Elephas maximus indicus: one gene and its partner. The main gene of each other region encodes a partner of the protein of the gene in region 2 in a complex. Links are inferred from orthologs where the notes say so. Each region holds a gene or a part of one and is shown on either strand. Other genes may lie near its edges.

Region 1 (10,549 bases), on a different chromosome or scaffold from region 2:
TGGTCCCCATTCTGCCTTAGGCACACCAGCTTCCCAGATGACTGACCAGGAAACTCGAGGGGGCGAAGTCCCCTGGGTCGAGTCCTTTTAGGGAGGGCTTGGAGGGATGGGTTGTCCTCGGAGTCAAGGAGAACAACAATTTCAGCTGGCATCCCGGCAGGGTCCGGATCAGGGTCTGGGTCTGGATCCACATCCCGGCCTGAGTCTAAAGGGGGCAAGTGTCAGCGAGCCCCGAGGGCTCCAACAGGTTCTACTCCCCACCCCGCTCCGGGCTCAACTACCTGAGCTGGGTGGGGATGGCTGGTCAGCTTGGACGTCTTGCAAAAGGGCCACCCCCTCACTCCAGGCCTCCAGGATGTTGCTCTTCTCAGACGGGCTGAGGTCCAGGGTGTGTGGATGCTGCTCAAGGATGTGCGTGCGGGCTGTGTCGGCCGAGGGGCAGCGGATCTCAGCACCACACACCATGCAGAGTGCCCGCCCGCTGCCTCCTGGGCTGTTCCCCACCAGGAACTCCTGTTCCCAAGACATTTGCTGCCTGGGCTCCTCATAGCCATCACCACCAGCCTCCAGCAGGCTGGGCCTAGGTGGTGGGGTCTTCTCCTGCTGGGCCACTGTGGAGGGAGAAGGGGGCTGTCATCAGCAAAAGTATCCTCAGCCAATAGTACTTAGAGCACGATACCCCGAGCTCGGTGGAGTGTGTGTCTTTAGGAGGGACGGGGCATTCCTGTCCAAAGTCTTTCTCTCCCTTCCCTAGGAGCCCACATTGAGCACAGTCTATATGCCTTGATATTCTGCTGCTGCTACTGTCGTTGGGTGCTGTCAAATGGATTTCAACTCATAGTGATCCCATGCCACAGAGAACTGTCCCGTAGGGTTTCCTTGGCTGTAATCTTGTACAGAAGCAGATTGCCAGGTCATTTTCCCGCAGAGCTGCTGGGGGGGTTTAGATCACCAACTTTTCGGTTAGCTTCATCATTTATGTCACCAGACCTCTTGGTATCCTGCTACCTTACACCTTCTCTTGATCTAGTCTCGGACTACAGGTCGATGTGTTTTTCATTAGGCTATGTTCTTGCATGTCTACAGCCTTCACGCATCTGTCCAGACACCGCTGTAAATTTCCTCACCTTCCCTCATGGCCCTGCTCAAGTCATGGCCTCTGTGAAGCCCTCCTGACTTCCCACCCCTGGAGGTTGACTGTATCCACAGCTGACCTCCAGCCCATAGTGTGCATTTTCTTGAGGGTGAGGAAGATAAATTTACTCATCTTGTCATCCCAATAGGGCCTGGCACATCGGAGAGGAGACATTCAGCGAGCTTTCGGTCAGGCGATGCACTTGCCTGCCTGTTCTTCCACTTGTGTAGGCTCTTCTGAAAGCCACTCCAACTTGTCAGAGCCAGCCTCCCTTCAAAGCTGTGGTACTGCCTCCACAGGCCAGTCTGTCTGGCTCCTGATCTTTGTGCACAGGAACCACAAGCTCCCTCAGGGCAGGGTTCCTGTCTGGCTTGGCAAGAGGCAAAATAGCCCCACGTGCAGCCTGGCAGCTCAATGCTTCTACCAAGTGACCATGATCCCTTACGGCTGCAACAGGAAACTCTTAAGTGAGAGAATGGGACGAAATACAAACAAGGGGGGCCCCCACACCTGGAAGCAGGACTGCGAAGGTCTGGGAAGGCTACATGGAAGAGGCGGCGTATGACATGGATGTGAGCACTAGCTTGGAATCAGAAGATCTAGATCCAAACCTGAGTTCACCTATGGGACTGCGGACGGTAAGCCTGACCTCCTAGCTCCAGTCGGGCTTTTGTCCCCACCACTCCTTCCGAACAGCTTTTGTCAAGGTCACTGATGCTAATCCCAGCAGGTGAGCTCTTAAACTTCGTTTGATGGATCACTTCTTCCACCTTGATTTTCACTTGGCTTCCAGGGCAGCACCTTTCCTTGGTTCTTTTACTTCACTGGTGCTCTTAGTCACCTTTGCCATGACTCACTCATCTCCTTCATCTCTTCCCAGCTATTTGCGCAGCTCACTCACTTCCTCCAGGTCACTGTTGGAGAACCAGCTTCTCACTGAGGCCTTCTGCCACCCTACAGAAAGCTGTCACTTCCCTCCACCTAAAACCCATCCATCCCCCTTTGCTGCTTCATCTTCCTCCACCGCACATATTACCACCTGACAGAATGAATGCGTGTTTTACTTTTAGCGTGTCTCCTTACTACACCGCAGGCTCCATGACCACGTGGGTTTTGGCTTGTTCACGCTTGCCCCTCTAGCACCTAGAACAGTGCCTGGTGAGCAGTGACCCTCAGTAATATTTGATGAGGCAATGACTCCATCTTCAGCCTGTAATCATTGAAGTCCTACAGGACTCAGTGCTTGGACCACTTCTCTGTCCACCTCCTTCCTCTGATGGTCTCTAATTGCTTGCCTGTTGACAACTCCCCTGTGTATATCTCCAGCCAGACTATTCCATGAAATCTAGACCCATATATCTAACTGCCCACCAGACGTCTCCACACGGATGTGCAATAATCATCTCACACTTACTACGTTCAAACTTTCCTTCCTCAGTCTCCCACAAAACCTGCACCCCAGCCTTCCCCATCTCAGTAAATGGGAAACCTACCCTTCTAGTTGCTCAGGCCAAAAACCTAGAATTCGTCCTTTCTCTGATACCCCAAACCTCTCAAGAAGCTTCTGCTTCAGGACTTTTGTACTTGCTATTCTCTCCGCTTGAAATGCTCTTCCTCCAGTTATCTACAAGGTTAGTGCTCAGTCTCCAATGTCTGTGCTCAAACTTCGCCTTACTAGAGAAGCCACCTCTGACCACTCAATATACCTAATAAAATAACCAAGTCCCACTCTCTTTTCTCCTTTCCCTGCTTTAGTGTTCTCCAAACCACTTGTCATCACCTGTGCTACTATATATTTACCTGAATATCTGTCTTTAGGAAACCCTGGTCGCGTAGTGGTTAAGAGCTATGGCTGCTAACCAAAAGGGTGGCAGTTCAAATCCTCCAGGCGCTCCTTGGAAACTCTATGGGACAGTTCTACTCTGTCTTATAGGGTCGCTATGAGTCAGAATTGGTTCGACGGCAGTGGGTTTTGGGTCTGTCTTTAGCTATTAGTCTGTATCCACATATTCCACAAGGCTGAGGTGTTGTCTGCTTTGTTTACTGCCATTAGCATCCCCGGCCTAGAGCAGCCTGGCATATACTAAAAAACGTAACAAACAAAAACCAAACCTGTTGCTGTCAAATTGATTTCAACTCATGGTGACCCTGTGCGTGCAGAGTAGAACTGCTCCATAGGGTTCTTGATGCTGTGACCTTTCAGAAGATCACCAGGCCTTTCTTCCAAGGCACTTCTGGGTGGATTCAAACCACCAACCTTTTGGCTAGCAATTGAATGCTTACTGTTTGTGTCACCCGGGACTGTTGGGACATAGTACCAAAAAAAAAAAAAAAAAAAAAAACCCAAACCCATTGCCGTTGAGTCAATTTCAACTCATAGCGACCCTATAGGACAGAAAAGAATTGCCCCATAGGGTTTCCAAGGAGCACCTGGTGGATTTGAACTGCCAACCTTTTGGTTAGAAGCGGTAGCTCTTAACCACTACACCACCAGGTTTTCCTGGCACACAGTAGGTGTCCAACGTTTACTGAATGAGTTAACCTTTCTGGACTTCTATTTCCTCATTTCTTTCAGAGGGGATAAAAGCACTCCTGCAGGGCTATTCAGGGGATTAACTGAGACCATCCCTAAGGGCATGGTTGGGCTGAAAGCTCTGAGGAGGATAAAACCCAACCCATAGTGGCCTTTATTTCCCTTGCTTATGTTACACCCTCCAGATCCCAAAAAGGATGAAAAGGCAGTGCAGACACAGTAGACGTTATATTCATCTGTGGTTAAACGAATGAATGAACCTGTCCCCTCTCCTGTCCCACTGTCACAAGGCCTGGAGAATATAAAGATAATTCAATTTTCATGAATATTAAGTCTTCCACAAAGGTGGCCCTTTGTTATGGTTTTCGAGATGCTGGGGACTAAAGGAAATGGTGAGTGGGAGGGGAAAGCGAGCATTTCCAGATTGTTCTTCAAATCTCTCCCAAGGCCAATCTCCTCCGGTGGCTGAGTCCCCGTCCCCCCACCCCGCCCCCCGCAAGCACCTCTTTTTCATAACTGGGTGTTGTGTGCTGTCCCATTCACCCCGATGCACTAGAATCTGACACCTGTGGCTTATGCAAGCGGAAGGTCTGAGGATGGGAAGCTTGGGGATGGGAAGCCTCGGGCGCCAGGAAAGCTTTATACATGCAAAAAAGGGCCCTTAAAATTCTGCTCTTCGAAGGCTGTCACGACGCCTGCCTCCATCCTCCTAATAGCTCCGAACACCAGGCTGCCGCACCGAGTCTCGGGCCTGGAGGCCTTGCGGCCCCTCGGCCCAGAACACAGCCTAGCCCCCAGCCTGCCGCCGCCTCCCGGGAGCGGCGGATATCCAGGGCCGCCGGGCACCCTGTCTCCAGCGCTGGGCCGGGCGAAGGGGCGCTCGGGCGCGGGAAGATCCCGAGCGCGCCGGGAACGTATCGAAGGCTCCAGACCCTGGCGGGGGTGGGGGCAGGGAGGATTCGGGGAGGCCCGAGATTCCAAGCCCTGGCGGGGGCGGAGCGACAGGACGCCCGGGCCCCGGCCCACCGCCCCGACGCGGAAGTGGGGCCCCCTCCCCTCCTCACCTCTGAGCATGGGCTCGGGCCGCGGAATTACGGCCACCACCGCGGCCTCCGCTTCATCCTCCGCTTCCTCGCACTTGAGCGTCACCTCGAAGCAGTCGAGCGCGGCGCCCTCGGCCTTCAGAGCCATGCTGTGGCTGGGGAGCGCGGTGACCGGATGCCACACAAGGGCCTGCGCGGCGCCGCCGCCTCCCGCCCGCGAAGCCCCCTCCGCGCCGCGGTCGTTCGGCGGCCCGGCCTGCGGCGGGAGCGTCCAGGCCTCCCCGAGACCGCGGCGCGTCGGGACCCCGGGCGGGGAGGGCTCAATCCGGGGCCCCAGTCTGCCGCCGCTCCCTTTTATGGAGGCTCATAGTCGGCACCCGCCCGCAGCCCGCCCCGGGCCCGCCCCAGGACTCGGGCAACCAATCGCTCGCCGCCCGCTCCCGGCCCCGCCCCCGCCCCGGTCATGCACCGCCCCCGAGCCCACGCGGCCAATCGCGCGCCCCTCCGGTCTGGCCCCGCCCCCGGCGCGCGCGGCTCTGTTAGAATCCTCAGGACGCGCTGGAGGCGAGAAGGCAGGGGTTCGTCCGTCGCCCCTCGCAGTGCAATTGCCTCAGAGGATCAGGGCCTCCAAACTTTCCCAAGCGGCGGGCGTCGAGAACCGGCTGGCGGAGCCAGTGGGTGGTGGTACTCCTCTGAAATGCCAGTCAGGCATGTTTGCTGGTATTAAAAACGCTTGTATCATCAGCACCAGAATTTTTGTCAGAGTCGCTTTTGCGGCTCTCCCAGAACAAGCCTTCCGACCCCAGAAGATGCCGAGGGCGGGAAGAGATCCGGGGCGGGGAGGCAGGGGAGTGGAAAGGGCGGTGGCATCAAAAAATGGAGATTGAATTCTTCCTCATTTGCCAGGTCTGTGACCTTGAGCACGTATTTTTCTGAGGCCTTTGGCCTTTTTTTTTTTTTTTTGCCTAGCATATCCGTTCTTTAAAAAAATATTGTGGAACCCTCTGGAGAAGGGAATGCAAAGCTGAAGAGCTGCTGAGTGGAACGTGGGCACATACAAACCACAGCCACGATTACAATGTCTGTTTTTTAAATGCGAGCCCAAAGAGTGTGTGACCTACCGAAGGTCACAGAACAAGCCCTTGGGAGCCCGAAGACCAGAGTCCTGTTCCCATGACGCTGGACTGTGCCATGTGCCAGCTTTTATCTCTGACAAGGATTTTCCCCCAGAGCGGGCAGAGAGAGAGCCTTCCTTTAGACCTGGTGCTCTGAATTTAGACTTCCAGCCTCTGAAAATAAATTTCTGTTTGATAAGGCCACCCACTTTTGGTATTCCTGTTACAGCAGCACTAAGAAACCAAGACAACCACTGAACTCAAACTTACTGAACTGAGTTTATCCTTAGTTGGAAGATGCCAACAGCTGTTCTGGCTCCACGTGACAGGAAGGGAAGAAGGAGAAAAAGAAGGTGGATAAAACTCAAATAGCCACTCAAGAGCAATCAAAATTTTTGAATGGAGGAATATAATTGTAGTAACACTAGAAATAACCATTTTGTCTGATAATAGGAAGTGGCTAATTAAATGATGGTGTGGTAGACAGCACCAAAAAGGATAGATATAAAGATAGTAACAACCTGGAAAAACATTTCTGAAATGTTAAATGTGAAAACCCACAAATATAGTATATATTGTGTTAGCAAAATTCAAACATAGCAGTGTTTGAAGCAGGCTCTCAATAAAGGGTTAACATGAACCATTCTTGGGCAAACAAGGGAGGGGATGAAGGAGAAGTGGTTCTTCTGGGAAAATACGTACAAAAAACATTCCAGGAGGCATGTAAAGAAAATGTTCTCAAAAATTGCTTACTCAAACTGTTATCAAGAAATGTTTGTCAGAAAATAGATTATCAAATGAAAGATTTTTTTTTTTTAAATGTCTGTGGTATTGGTCACACTAAACTCTGTGTATAAAAACTCTGCCCTTGTTCAGAACAGCGGAGTGCTTTCTACTTTCACTATATGCCGCCCAACTAGAGTTGCTATTCCTCAATAAAACTCTCTGTTCTTACTCCTATCAGTGTATGAGATTTTCTTCTTTGACATATTCATTGTCAGAAACAGGACTTCGAAGGTGCATTGCCGTCAACAACCCCTGAGGTGTTGAGGACTCAGGCTCATGTAACAGCTGAGCTATTTGGGTTTCTGAGTTTAATTCTTTGTGCTGTAGCTCTTTGAGTTTTGTTAAGGATTTGTTTTTATTCTTGCAAGTAAGCTTTTATTATCTTTCAGAAGAAAAATGGGAAATGCCAGTTCCAAGGGCAAATCAGAGCCTCCCTGTGGGACTCTTGCCCACTATATGAACAAGCACTTTGGTCCTTTAACATGTGTGTTTTGTCTGGTTGGCATGACCTCACTAAAGATAGTTTGGAAAATCAATGGCCACTTTGGGCTTCTTTTGAATTATCTAAATTAGTATTTCTGACCAGTAAATTAGAAAATAAAGGCTCCCAGATTAAACAACCTCAATGGGATGGCTATTTCGATTGGTATTTAGAAGTCTACAAAGACATCAAGTTAGCAAAACTGCTTCCCTGAAGGATACTGTTTTTAATTAACCAAACAAAATTAAGAGTTAAAATGTCAGAACTCAGCTCCCGATCCATCTGCCCCTTTGCCAGCTATCTGTCCTTTATACTCCCCTTACCTTCCTATTCCTTCAATAACACTCTGTCTGAGCTTCCTTTTTTTCCTGAGAAACCAAAGAGCCTTTACCCGAAATGCCCTTTAAGATTCATCCTACGAACACTGAGGAATTTCCCCGTGTTACCTTTATTCCCTGGACTTACTCAGAGTTATGTGGCATTGTGAAATATTTTCCAAAATTTCCTGAAGGGCTTTACAAGTTTGCTAAAGAGTTTAAAATTCTTATTGAAGCTTACCAATTTGGGGTCCCAGATTTGTTTCAACTAGTACATATGATAACTGGGCCTGGAGAAGCTCAGCTATGGTTAGAACACACTGAATGGAAAGATCCCAAAATAGTTTAGCTTTAAATATAGATAACACAGCTGCTTAAGGATTGTCGAGCAATGGGTAAGAGATTACTTGAGGCTATTCCCAAGGTTTTTCCTCCAATAACTGATTGGATAAAAATTCATTCCTGTAATTAGAATAAAGATGAGGATGTTTTGATTATCAAACCAGACTGCTTCAAAAGTTTTCTGAACACTCTGGTCTTACCTTATCTGCTCTGGATGCAACAGGAGCTTTTAATGCCTGAAATTTCAGCCTTGGTTAAGCGGCACTGATTAGACTGATAAAGGGCCCCCATTGTGGAATGTAGTTATTTGGCTTTTAAATTTCCCAGACTTTTGAGGCTGAAAGGGACAAAAAGGCTAAGAAATTTATGGCACTTCAATTTCAGCAATTACAGTCCCAAATCAAAAGAATGCCAAACCTTCTAATGGCCCCAAAGCTGGCATCTGCCACTATTGTAAGAAACATGGTCATTGGAAAAATGGATGTTATAGATTTAAAAACAAAATGAAAACTTGGCAACAAGAAGTCTGTCAACCTAACATGGAATGAAGAGGCTCTGGGGACACAACAGAGACTTTTCCTACGGTGTGCTTAACCTGCAAGGGGAAACTATTGTAAACATTAATGGAGAACCATGTCAGTTTTTTTTTTTTATTAACAATGGAGTCACCTTATGTGCTATTAACCCCAATGTTTTGCAAAAGTTCCTGCCCTGGAGTACAAACATCTCAAAGGTAGTGGCAGTTACCAAACAAGAGCAAGCCCAAATTTATTCTCAACTCAATCCAATATTTCTTGGTCCTACTGAAGACTTTTACTTAGTCCTGATACTCCTGTCAATTTGTTGGGCCAAGATCATTTGTGTAAACGGAATTGTCATTTGCAATTTACTGTAAAGGGGGAAATATTAAGTTTGCCCAATGTCCAAAAATTTACCGACATGTGTTTTGAATTAGAATAGATTGAAAAGGAAGAGATTGCTTGCTGCTTCCAAGCACTGGTCACACATAATGATGATTCAACTCGATCTAGCCTTCTTCATCCTGCTATATTTTCATTAATTCCTGAATCTGTATGGGCCAGCACGTCTACTGATGTGAGCTGTGTTTTGTCAGCAGAGCCAATCAAGATTCAAAAAGAGAGACTTCTGGCAAACATGGCACCATAGACAGAAGCATCACACTGTCCCTCTATAGTGAAGACCTGAAAAACTAAGTGAAACAGAGACAAATGTCATTCCTGGAACCTGAAGTGTCAAATGAAGAGATAAAGAACTCAACCAAGCACGAAACGGAATAAGAAACTGACAGAGGACAGAGAGCAAGGAGAGATACGTGCGGAGGGCCCCATCGTTAATGCAGCATGGATTTGCCATCTTGGACTCCTGTTGGGGATTGGCAGACACGGAGCACAGGAAAGCAGCTTTGCAGAACTCCCAACAGGAGACAGATCACCTGGTAACCAGTGATACTTTCCCACCACCAATGATCTCCCTGCTGCTCTGCCTCCCAGCTTGCTGGCTGGTTGTGGTGGCTCAGCTGGCCGGGAAGTGTAGCGTCCATGCCGCTTGGATTCGCCCCACCCACATCAGAGATCAGCAGCCAGAGAGTATGGGAAAGCAGCTTAATGAAGTTCCCGGCAGGAGACAGCACCCACTTCTGTTTCTCTCTCCTCTCTCTTCTTTCTCATACCCCTATTAGCGCCACACATCACAACCTCCCCCATCTTTCCTGCCTACGTGCACCATGCACTGAACATCACACCCCTAAGAAGCACAGGTACAGCCTTCTGGAAGCTGCCCAGCACTGACTCCTGGCCCGCCTTGTCAGCCCTAGTACATGTCACAAACAACCCATCCCAGCCCCTCCCCTTCAGCTGGACCTTCCTTGCAGCACCATAGCTGATTGACTGGCCCTGCCCATTGGACAAGTAGATGAAAAGTATTGTGACTACTGATGAGCAAACAACAAAGAAGGCATAGCCTACCTGCTCAGACATAACCAAATAAAACAGAAAAGCAGGACAAAACAAATAAATCTACAATCAAGAAATGAAGAAAATAACTACTGAATGTCCCAAAGACAGCAAACAATATCAAAACATAAAAAAACAGGAGAGGATGGTTCCAGTAGGCATCCAAAATAAAACACCAGATGACTTTCCAGTAGAAGAAAAGGCACTAGAACTACCTGACAGGGAATGCAAAGCTCTAATATTCACAGCTAGCCAAGAGTTAAAGCAAAAAGCAGAGAAAAATAAACAAATTTATGGATAAGGCAGACAAATTCATGGAAAATACAGACCAAAAAAAATGGGATAATTTAGGAAAGTAATACAGAAGCAAAATGCCAAAATAAACTCACAACTAAAATCATACAAAATCAACAATTAGAAATCTAAAAGATAAACAACAAGATTTCAGAAATGGACAGTGTCATAGAAGGGCTGAGGAGCAGGTTTGAAACAGTGGAAGACAGATTCAGTGAAATTGAGGACAAACACTTGGATACAATTCTGTTTGAGGAAAAAATCAGAAAAAAGAACGAAGAAAAATGAAGAAACCCTGAGAATTATGTGGGATACAATCAAGAGCAAAAATTTGCGAGTGATCAGAGTTCCAGAACAGGGAGAGACAATGGAAAACACAGAGAAGATCACCAAAGAATTGCTGACAGAAAACTTCCCTAATATTATGAATGATGAAAAGCCGACCATCCAAGAAGCTCAATAAGCCCTGTATAGGATAGACTCCAAAAGAAAAATGCCAAAGCATGTCATAATTACACTCGCTAAAACCA
Region 2 (11,740 bases):
TTCAAATTCAGGACCATTCTTCATGCCTCTGCTCCTGCTGCCCCCGCCCCCTCCATCTACACTTCCTTCCCTCTCCTCCTCTAAAATTCCTGACCCTACTACAGCATCATCTTTTCTTCCAAGATACCATTCAGCATCGAACTTCCTCATTACGTGCACATAGCTTCCCTACTAGGCTGTAAAAGGTATTTACAAATAAATCTTTGTTTATGTATGCACATGACTCCTCCCAGAAAGGATTTATGGTAGTTTCAAGGCATAAAATAGGCACCCGATAGATTTAAAATTAAATTGAACACTGAGGCTCAACAAGTTGTTTACTCCACCATGACCCAAAAAAAAAAAAAAAAAATCACTCTAATGACTATAAAAAACCTGTTGCCAAGAGCCCCTGAGGGAGCAGCAAAGCAGTGGGATGCAGACCCCGAAATTCTCGTAAGACCAGACTTAATGGTCTGACTGAGACTAGAAGGACCCTAGTGGTCATGGCTCCCAGACCTTCTGTTGGCCCAGGACAGGAACCATTCCCGAACCCAACTCTTCAGACATGGATTGGACTGGACAACGGGGTGGAGAGGGATGCTGGTGAGGAGTGAGCTTCTTGGATCAGGTGGACACTTGAGCCTATGTTGGCATCTCCTGCCTGGAGGGAAGACGAGAGGGTGGAGGGGGTTAGAAGCTGGCGAAATGGACACGAAAAGAGAGAGCGGAGGGAGAGAGCAGGCTGTCTCATTAGGGGGAGAGTAATTGGGGGTATGTAGTAAGGTGTATATGGGTTTTTGTGTGAGAGGCTGACTTGTAAACTTTCACTTAAAGCACAATAAAAATTATTAAAAAAAAAAAACAAAAACCTGTTGCCGCTGAGTAGATTCCAACTCATAGCCACCCTAAGAAAAGAGCAGAACTGCCCCCGGGGGTTTCCAAGGAGCTGCTGGTGAATCCGAACTGCCAACCTTTTGGTTAGCAGTCAAAGACAGCTCTTAACCACTGCACCACCAGGTCTAATGACTATAAACCAAACCCACTGCCATCAAGTCAATTCTGACTCATAGCGACCTTACTGCCTACAGCAAAGCACAAAAGTAGGAAGGGGAAGGAAATCAACATTTATTGTCATCAGCTACTATACTTCAGTAACTGTACTGGGAATTCTATGGATCCATTTCCTGTAATTCTCAAAACAGCCTTGTAAGTTTCATCCCTGGTGTACATTCTGGGGAATAAGAGGTTAAAAAAAAGGATACATGATGAATTAGTTCTGTGGCTTTGGACCAGTACTGGAGCTCAATTTCAACCCAGGTTCTTCTGATATGAAAGGCTATGATAACTTCAGAACCCACAACTTTTTAACAAAACCATAATGCCTTTCAAGCTGAGTAAAATAATTGGGCAAAATTATTCTCTTCTAACTTCTTTTCATTCAAAGGAAAGGGAAAAAAACATTCAATTTAGCATCCAATAAATAAAAGGATTTACATAAATATATATTAACTGCCCTTTCCCAACAAATTAAGAGTCTGCTAACAGCTAACGAAGAGAAATGCCCAACAGCATTCTTTTTAACCTCTAAATCATCTGAATGATTAGCTCTTCAAAAACCGTAGTATTCTTAATTTCTAGCATACCAGGAAAAAAATCGTAACAATTGGTAACCTTATTACTGTTAACAGTGTGTGCAATCATCTAAGTCATTGGGAAGCGGGAACACTGTAACTAGTTAACGTTTTCTAGTTTTAAGATTTTGGATTAACAAATTTCATAAATACAGTAAGAGCCAAATTTGGGGTACTGCTCATAAAATCCACAGGACACACAAACCACATCAACCTCATGATCCCTCAGTTCAAAATTAGTTCACTGTAGTGCTCAACATTTCAAAACGTATGTTCCAGGCAACAACCTCTGTTTCCTGAATTCTGGGCGCTAAAAAATATTACACCAAAACAGAACAAAAAAAAAGAGTTCTGGGGTCAGATATAGAAAACACTACTAGAATATTTACCAGAACTTTTGACATGATAATCTGAATGGTGACCCCGAGAAGAGATGAAAAGGACACAGCACTGTTTCCCAAACTTATTTGGCCAAGGCACCCCTTTTTCCTGCAGCATCTCCTAGAATTACTGCCACAAATGGCACATTCAACAACACTGCTTCAGATAGTCCAAAACCGAGTTACTGACATCTTGTAGTGTTATTCTGTTCTGAATTGGTAATTAAAGGCACTGTCAGAAACCACTACTGAAATTCCAGGGAGCAATGCAAGTCTTAATAAAAAAATCTTAAACATAAAGAGATGACTACAGACTTATTCTGGCCCTCTCACCTTATCCACTTCATATCATAACAGTAATCATTTCACTACACAAAAGATTAAAAATAAATTCAATTTTATCTCTCACAATAAACTAATACCTCTATCCATAAAAACACTATGCAACTTCAATACATAATTATCAAATATGGATAATGGGCGTTCTCTAAGTTATGTTTATCTCGTTCCTGTCTTTTTGGTTTTTACCCATTAGCTAAAGCTGGACGGACAAGGGGAAAGCCGCCTCATTTCACGTGATCTCTTTCTGAAATTTCACCTCTCTTAAAGAATCTTCACAAATGTATGTCCTGGCATAAATCCTTGGGTTTAGATTTTTCACTTCCTAACAAGAGTCACGTAGAAAGCACTATACTCTCTATCAATCCTCTCAGAAGATATACAGTTCCTTCCAGAATATTCTACCAGAAAAAAAGTTACATAGGTATTCACATTTTGGTATGTATGTTTTCTTTGGCACAAGTCATATTATCCGGAGACATCCTTTAAAACACTTTAGTGCGTCCTGTATTGCTTTTAACATACACAGTAAAATAGCCAAACGAATTATTTCAGCCAGAGTAAAAACACCTCGATATGTTTGGAAAATCCTCTTCAAAACTTGGAATCCCAGCTCAATTATAAAAAGTAAATATAAAAACAATTGAGTAAATAAGCTGAGGAGCCTATTTAATATTTACTACTGAAGCCATTACTAAAAGCCAATCCCGTAAAATCCAGAATGCATAATCAACACAAGAATCTAACAGCGAAAGCCAAACCAAAAAGCACTGCGTAGCTTCCGTATCATAAAATTCATCCGAACAGATTCCTTACAGGATACATTCAAGGTCACTTTGATGGATTAAAAAAAAAAGTGTCAAAAGAAATGCATATTCCCACCGTCGATTTCATGCCCAACAGAAGGCTGCCGAAGTGTTTAACGGAGCCAGGAGAGGGTGCTGCGAATGCCGGAGCACCGCATAGGGTCGGAAATGTGCTAGTGGGCGTCACTGGAACGACGAGAAAACACGCCTTTTCGGTAAATTCAACAACTTCCAAGGGCTAAGGGCTCTCCACGTGAAAAGCAACGCTATTGTGAGCATACAATATCCCTCACCCTCGAAGGAGCAGCGAAAAGTGCAAGTTGACCCATTTACTGAAACAACCCGCCGCCGCAGGAGGCGCGGCAACCCCCCACGCGCCGCTGACACCGGTCCAGAAGCCCCACCGCAGCGCCAGCCCGGGCTCCGCGCGAGAGCATCCGGTGTTCCGCCCGGCCGCTCGGGGCCCAGGTAGTGCCGCTTCTCTTCCTCCTTCCGGTGCCCAGCCTCGTCGGGCGCGGACAGGCCCGGGCTATTATGCAACACTGAACATCTTGCCGCCGCCAACGATTTTGGCGCATCGTCCCCTCCCCCACCGCCCTCGAAAATACGCAGCGCGAAGCCCTCCCGCCCCACGCGCCGCGTGGCTCTCCGTCCCGCTCGTTTGCCGCCGCCAACAGCTGACACGGCCTGGGCCCGCAGAGCCTTACCGGAACCCTGCCGGGCGCGCAGCGCAGGCGGAGCACTGGCTCCGAGTAACAAAAGCGGGCGCTAAGGGACCGGCGGTGCGGGGGACGCGGGGCGCGCCGCGGCGGCGGCCATGTTGGCAAGGCGGGGCGGGGCGCGCAGTGCCGGGACTCGCAGGGCGTCGGCGGCCCAGGGCTGCGGGGAGGGACCGGCGCGCGGCGGCGGCGAACAAAGGAGCGCGCGCTCGGCGCCAGAGGCCCCGGCGGCCCCCGCCCCGCGCAGGCGTCCCGGCCGGCAGGGGGCGCTGTGCAGGCGCGGCCCGGGCACTGGACAATGCGACGCCGGGGAGCCAGGCGGGCGTCGGCCGGCCGGGCGGTCCGGCAGCTCTCACCTGGGCGCGACAGGGCGCCGACTGCAGCCAGAGTAGCCTTGCGGCCCGCCCGCCTGCGCCTGAGGCCAAAGAGCGGCGCCGACGCACGCTTCACGCCCGCACACCTCTCATGGCAGCGATGCTGCTCCCCAGGCGCCCCTGCTTCCGCCCGCGGCGGAGAGGCCTCACCTGCCGACCCGCCAGAGGCCTGCCGTCCGCAAACCCCACACGGGCTCCCGCCGTCCCTCTTCTCAAGCTCCCCGCCCCGGCCCAAACCCGAGCCAGACGGCGCCTCCCCGCCCCCCGGCCTCCGCGGCGCACGCGCACTGGGCCCGCCGAACTGCGGCGGCCCCGCCAGCCCGGCGGCCCGCACCGAGCCCGGAAGAGCTGCGCACGCGCCGCCGGGCCGGCTCGGGAGGGGCGGGGCCTCGCGGCTGCTCACCTGAAAAGATGGGCGGAGTGTCCGCACAGCCTGCCAGGCAGTCGGAGCCTCCAGGTGCGAGCCGCGAGCTACCGGCCAGCATCGCCTCCGGGTCGAGGGTGGCGTGAAGAGTGCAGAGCTCCCGGAACCTTGGAGTGACATCGTTTCTACGGAAAGTTAGGCCGCCTTGGAGGAATTTGGTTCCTGTTTCCTACGAAGACTTTCTAAGAAATGATGAGGTGCTCTTTGTCCTTAAACAGCACACCCCAAAGATTTATGGAACTGGATAAAATAGCAAGAATATCCGGAAAAAAGGTGAGTTTTGAACGACGGACGCTACACCAGCTAAATTTCAGTAACGTAGGTTTTAGGTTCAAGACTGCAGAAGTTAAGCTCTTTATAAAAGTAAATTTGTTTCCTGTGATTCGCTTGATTACACAGCTTCGTACCTCGGGTCACCTCACAATGCTACTGCCGTGTAAAAAAGCCTCTCTCTACATATCTCAGGTTAACGTAAACCCCAAATCCTCATCTACAAAATATCTGGCCTTCCCGAGGTTGTGTAGGGAGTTGTGAGTTCTGCAATGCTAGAAACCTTTTCCCAGCCCCCTCCACGAAAACAAGGACTAAATCAGCTCGACTTGCGAGTCTAGGAGCCAGAAACTCCCCCTATTGCACTTTAATGCCTTTGACTTCAGCTTAAACGAAGACGTTCTTTTGAATAATTTATTTGTTCCTTGCAGGAGTAGGGGGAGAGGAAGCATTCAGAACATTTTACTAGTTCCGACTTGACAGCAGAACTCGGAGGCTTAATCTAGGTCTGAATACCAGCGCCCCCACCTACGCCTCCACGTGAATCCCCCACCCAGTCACTAGCCCTGTGTGTCTTCCAGTCAGTCACCCTGCTTCCGTGTTTCCTAGAGCGCGAAAGCGCTGCCGTAGCAGCCCAACGGTAATAAACCTTCCCCCAGAATGTTGTCAGGTCGAATTACAAAACGGATTGTTGGAAAGCACTTTGTGCACTCTGAATTGCAGGACAGTTGTTAGTAAGCAGTGCTCTTTGGGATTATACTGGCACATTGTCTTCCAAGCACGATTGATATGCGCTGGCTTTAAGCGCTCATCTCCAAGGACACGTTTGGCAGGAACAGGAAGTTTACACGCCAACAAAAGGGCCAAGATACCTATATACATGTATACGTATGTTGTTGTTAGGTGCTCTCCAGTGGGTTCTACCTCATAGCCACCCTGTGTACAACAGAAGGAAACACTGCCGGTTCCTGAGCCCATTATTGCAGCCACTGTGTCAATCCATCTCCTTGAGGGTCTTCCTTTTTTTCCGCTAACCCACTACTTTACCAACCATGATGTCCCTCTCCAGGGACTGGTCCTGATAACATGTCCAAAGTATGTGAGATGAAGTCTAGCCATCTTCGCTTCAAAGGAGCATTCTGGCTGTATGTCTTCCAAGACAGATTGGTTCATTTTTAAGGCCTCAAATCCTCAGTCTTCCTTATTCGTTCTCCAGCTTTCCCATGGATATGAGGCAATTGAAAACACAATGGCTTGGGTCATGCACACCTTAGTCCTTAAAGTGACATTTCTGCTTTTTAACACTTCAAAGAGATTTTTTGCAGCAGGTTTGCCCAGATGAATGCGTCACTTGATTTCTTGACTGCTGCTTGCATGGGTGTTGATTGTGAATCCAAGTAAAATGAAATCCTTGGCAGCGTCAGTCTCTTCGCTACCATGATGTTGCTTGTTGGTCCAGTTGTGAGGATTTTTATTTATGTTGAGTTGTAATCCACAAAGAAGGCTATGGTCTTTCATCTTCAGTAAGTGCTTCAAGCCCTCTTCGCTTTCAGCAAGCACGGTTGTGTTGTCTGTACACATCACAGGTTATTAACGAATGTTCCTCCAATCCTGATGCCGTGTTCTTCTTCATATAGTCCAGCCTCTTGGATTATTTGCTCAGTATACAGATTGAATAAGTTTGGTGAAAGGATACAACACTGACCCACACCTTTCTTGACTTTAAACCATGTTTCAAAAAAATGCCTCCTGGTCTAACTACAGGTTCCTCATGAGCACAGTTAAATGTTCTGGATTTCCCATTCTTCTCAATGTTATCCGTAATTTGTTACGATCCACAGGGTTGAATGCCTTGCGTAGTCAGTAAAACACAGGTAAACATCTTTCTAGTGTTCTTTTTCAGCCAGGGTCCGTCTGACATCAGCAATGATATCCCTGGTTCCACATCCTCTTCTGAATCTGGCTTGACTTTCTGGCAGTTCTCTGTCAATGTACTGCTGCAACTGTTTTTGAATGATCTTCAGCAAAATCCTACTTGTGTGTGTGATATTAATGATATTATTCAATAATTTCTGCATTCTGTTGGATCACCTTTCTTTAGAATGGATACAAATATGGATCTCTTCCAGTCAGTTGGCCAGGTAGCTCTCTTCAAAATTTCCTGGCACAGTGCTGTATCCGTTCGTTGAAACATCTCAGTTGGTATTCCCTTAATTCCCGGAGCCTTGTTTTTCGCCAGTGTCTCCAGGGTGGCTTGGACCTCTTTTTTCAGTACCAGCAGTTCTTGATCATACGCTACCTCCTGAAATGGTTGAATGTCAACTAATTCTTTCCGGTACAGTGACTCTGTGTTCCTTCCATCTTTTGATGCTTCCTGTATCGTTTAGTATTTTCCCCATAGAATTCCTTCAGTATTGTAACTCAAGCCTTGAATTTTTTTTTCAGTTCTTTCAGCTTGAGAAATGCCAAGTGTGTTCTTCCCTTTTGGTTTTCTAACTCCAGGTCTTTGCACATTTCATTGTAATACTTTACTCTGTCTTCTTTAACTGCCCTTTGAAACCATCTGTTTAGCTCTTTTACTTCATAATTTCTTCCTTTCCCTTTAGCCACTCTGCATTCAAGAGCAACTTTCATAGTCTCTTCTGACAACCATTTTGGCCTTTTCTTTCTTTCCTGTCTTCTTAGTGATCTCTTGCTTTTTTTATAAATGATGTCCTTGGTATCGTGCCACAACACATCTGGTCTTTGGCCATTAGTGTTCAGTGCATCAAATCTATTCTTGACATGGTCTCTAAATTCAGGTGGGATATACTCAAGGTTGTACTTTGGCTCTCATGACTTGTTCAAATTTTCTTCACCTTCATCTTGAACTTGCTTATGAGAAATTGATGGACTATTCCACTGTGAGCCCCTGGCCTTGTTCTGACTGATGATTTTGAGCTTTTCCATCATCTGTTTCCACAGATGTAGTTAATTTGATTCCTGTGTGTTCCATCTGGTGAGGTATAGTCGCCATTTATGTTGTTAAAAAAAGGTATTTCCAGTGAAGAAGTTGTTGGTCTTGGCAAAATTCTATCATGTGATCTCAGGCATCATTTCTATCATTAAGGCCATAATTTTCCAACTACCGTTCCTTCTTTCCTGTTTCCAGTTTTCACATTCCAAGCACCGGTAAGTATCAATGCATCTTGATTTGATCAATTTCAGACTGCAGAAGTTGGTAAAAATCTTCAGTTTCTTCATCTTTCACCTTAGTGGTTGGTGGGTAAATTTGAATAATAGTCGTATTAACTGGTCTTCCTTGTAGGCATATGGATATTATCCTATCACTGACAACATTGTAATTCAGGATAGGTCTTGAAATGTTCTTTTTGATGATGAATGCTACATCGTTCCTCTTTAGTTTCTCATTCTCTGCACAGTAGATCATATGATTGTCTGATTCAGAATGGCCAATACCAGTCCGTTTCAGCTCACTAATGCCTGGAATATCGATGTTTATGTGTTCCGTTTCATTTTGGACGATTTTCAGTTTTCCTGCATTTGTACTTTGTACATTCCACATCCTGGTTATTAATGGATGTTTGCAGCTGTTTTTTCTCATTTTGAGTCGTGCCACGTCAGCAAATGAAAGTTCCAAAAGCTTGACCCCATCCTCGCCATTAAGGTCAACTCTGCTTTGCGGAGGCAGCTCTCCCCCAGTGATATTTTGAGTGCCTTCCAACCTGAGGGGTTCGTCTTCCGGCACTATATCAGACAGTGTTCCCCTGCTATTCATGAGGTTTTCACTGGCTAATTTTGTTCAGAATTAGACCGCCAACTCATTCTTCCTAGTTTGTCTTAGTTTAGAAGCTCCGCTGAAACCTCTCCACCAAGGGTGACCCTGCTGGTATTTAAATATTGGTGACAAAGCTTCCAGCATCACAGCAACACGGGAACCCCCACAGTATGACAAACTGACAGACTCACAGGGGTACGTACATACATACGTTATGTGCGTGTATACATATAAACCAAAAAATGAATAAATAAAACTCGCTGCCGTCAAGTTGATTCTGACTCTTAGTGACCCCGTGTAACAGAAATAAAAGCTGACAGTTCCTCAGAACTCACTGTGGTACAGGCACAGCGATACACCTTTGTACCACTGCTTACACCATCGAGAGTACTAAGAAATTGTTAGCTTTTATTTGTTTCGTTTTTTATCATACAGAGAATTGACAGCAAGTCTGGATCAAGCTGGGAACTATCAGGGTTCTCGCACTTAGTGAACGGACCAGATTGGCACTAAATACGTTTGGGGCTTAGGCTGACTCTGCCACTCCCACCGAGGATAATAATGTAGATTTGACAACCCTTGCATGTGAATCCTGATAAGATGGTGGCCCAAACTAGGCCAGAGGCTGCTGTTCAGTGTTAGTCCTAATAAGGTACCCTGGCCAAATCTGAGATCCACAATTGATTCACACACTCTGTAGGAGGAAACATGGGATCTAGGGCTGTGTCCATGGCCAAGGTGACCAGAGCCAGCCTGGATGGTCAGCAGTGGGACCAGAAAGAGAGGGAAAGGGATTAGGGGGGCACAGGAAGGAGCTGGGTCAGAAACAAGCCAACTGTGATGCCTAGCTTGGTCTGGAACCTCTCCAGGTATCCAGTCCACCCCAGGTTACAGGAAGTGGGCATGGATGAGAATGCATTCCCCATGCCTCTTATTACCAGCTGACACATTATCTCTCATCTAAGCTCCCAGAAGGCAGATGGTTTGTTTTCGTTCTCTTCCATGTATGCCTAGAGAGAAGGGGTTCATTGAAGACTTTGTGGAAGACCATTGAGGGTCTGTAGAAGGATTTACCCAGACAAACATGGTTAGAAAGAAACCCAGGAGTACTGAAATGATAACATAGGCTCTGGCAGGGGCCTCACCTGTAGGCCCAATCCCCTGGCCTCTGACCCCTTCTACTACCCCAATCCCCTGTCTAGTCCCATCTCAACCAGGAGGGCTGTAGAGACCCCACCCCTTCAATTCTGGAGGGAAGGGCCTGGCCATTTATCGTCCCAGGGGCCTCAGAGCACTAAGACCACACACTGAAGCAGCCCATCAGTTTCCTCTACTCCCTGAAAGTATGGCACCAGAGAGACTAAAAGGGCAACACAGGGCCTCTGTCTTACCAAGAACATGTTTCTTAGAAGACACCTTTCCACAGTCTTTTTCTTTTTTTCCAGCTTAACAACTTGCTCCTGGAGCCTCTGCAAAATCACAAATTACAATGCCATGTCCCTTCGAGCTTCTCTCAAGCCATTGAAACTGTCATTTTGGCAGCACTGCTGGATGTAGAGGAGATCCAGGAGAACCCTCCACTCACTTGCCCTAATGGACATCAGCTGGACTCCAAGGAGCACAAGGCACTGCATTTTAGCCTCTGGAGGGGACAGCATATATGTTTATACTTGATGGAGGGAACATCATGCGGTGCTCAGAAAATGTTCACTGAATGGAGGACTCAAAGGGAGAAACAGCCCGAGCAGCCATCTGGTTAAACTACTTAGGTTCCTATCACTCTCTCCTGGTTCACTCCTACCTCTCCCTCCAGGTCAGGTTCTGCACAGGAGACAGACAAATGCTTTTAAATATTTCCGCCTCAGAGAAGCCTTCCTGACCACCTGCACAAGCAGATTGCCAGCTCTCTTTCTCATACCTACATCCCTGTTGGTTTTCCTTCACAGCATCCATCCCCCTCTGTAATTACAAACAGTATTGATTTGTTTGTTGCCTTGTGTATTGTGTTCCTCCATCCCATGAACTACTGCTAACCAAAAGGTCAGCAGTTCAAATCCACCAGGAGCTCCTTGGAAACGCTGTGGAGCAGTTCTACGCTGTCACTGTGAGTCAGAATCAACTTGACAGCAATGGGTTTGGTTTTTTGGTTTTTTCATCCCATGATAAATTCCAGAGGGCTTTATCTGGCTTCACTATCAGTATAATCCCTAGAGCACAGTAAGTGTTCAACAACTATTTATTATAAATTAATGTCTGACTTGTTCTCAGAGTGCTGGGTTGTCTGGATTTATATGAGCTTTTAAAGGGCCTTGAATACCAGGAGACTGGGGGATTTGAATTCTCCTTAGCCACTCTTACAGGGGTATTCAGAGAACAAAAGGAATAATATAAGCTGCAGAATTACACACATGTAAGGGAAAGTGTTCAGTCAGGCTTTGGGGGGATTTTGTTGAATCAATCAGGTACTATCTAGGAGAGAATTTAGAATAGAAGATCTGAAATATAGGCAATCTCCTGAAAAGGCTAATGTCTTAGTTATCTAGTGTTGCCATAACAGAAATATCACAAGCGGATGGCCTTAATGAAGAGAAATTTATTTCCTCATGATAAAGTAGGCTAAAAGTCCAATTTCAAGGCGTCAGCTCCAGGGGAAGTCTTTCTCTGTCTGCTCTGGGAGAAGGTACCTGTTCTCAGTCTTCCCATGGTTGAGGAACTTCTCAGGCTCAGGGGCCCCAGGTCCAAAGGACGCACTGTAATCCTGGTGCTGCTTTCTTGGTGGTATGGGGTCCCTGACTCTCTGCTTGATTCCCTTTCCTTTTATCTCTTCAGAGATAAATGATGCAGGCCACACCCCAGGGAAACTCCCTTTACCTTGGGTCAGGGGGGCGACCTGAGTAAGGGTGGCGTTACAATCCCACCCTAATCGTCTTTAGCATAAAATTACGATCACAAAATGGAAGATAACCACACAATACTGGGAATCATGGCCTAACCAAGTTGACATGTATTTTTGGGGGGACACAGTTCAATTCATGAC

Evidence for each region.
Region 1: the proteins of SPIN1 (region 2) and SPINDOC are in contact, whole or in part, in a crystal structure (PDB 7CNA), measured with the Homo sapiens proteins. The link is inferred for Elephas maximus indicus from reciprocal best matches to the Homo sapiens genes SPIN1 and SPINDOC. Residues at the interface, in NP_006708.2 of Homo sapiens: Met154, Thr169, Tyr170, Glu171, Pro174, Pro206, Val209, Val210, Leu213, Lys216, Gln217, Val218, Glu219, Tyr220, Thr229, Val232, Val242, Tyr243, Ile245, Phe247, Asp249, Asp250, Tyr254, Val255, Tyr256, Asp257, Leu258, Val259, Lys260, Thr261; in NP_612480.1 of Homo sapiens: Phe256, Ala258, Pro259, Ala260, Val262, His264, Phe265, Thr266, Asp267, Ser269, Phe270, Pro271, Gly273, Phe274, Val275, Leu276, Gln277, Leu278, Phe279, Ser280.

Annotation. Positions count from the first base shown.
Region 1 is NC_064825.1:127,006,403-127,016,951, reverse strand, and holds the start of SPINDOC (spindlin interactor and repressor of chromatin-binding protein), read right to left. Parts: upstream 5,077-10,549; 5' UTR 4,860-5,076; coding exon 4,733-4,859; intron 612-4,732; coding exon 282-611; intron 206-281; coding exon 47-205; intron 1-46. UniProt on the Homo sapiens protein: Chromatin protein that stabilizes SPIN1 and enhances its association with histone H3 trimethylated at both 'Lys-4' and 'Lys-9' (H3K4me3K9me3).
Region 2 is NC_064827.1:124,887,078-124,898,817, forward strand, and holds the start of SPIN1 (spindlin-1), read right to left. Parts: upstream 4,467-11,740; 5' UTR 4,382-4,466; intron 4,060-4,381; exon of another isoform or gene 3,846-4,059; intron 3,424-3,845; exon of another isoform or gene 499-3,423; intron 1-498. UniProt on the Homo sapiens protein: Chromatin reader that specifically recognizes and binds histone H3 both trimethylated at 'Lys-4' and 'Lys-9' (H3K4me3K9me3) and is involved in piRNA-mediated retrotransposon silencing during spermatogenesis.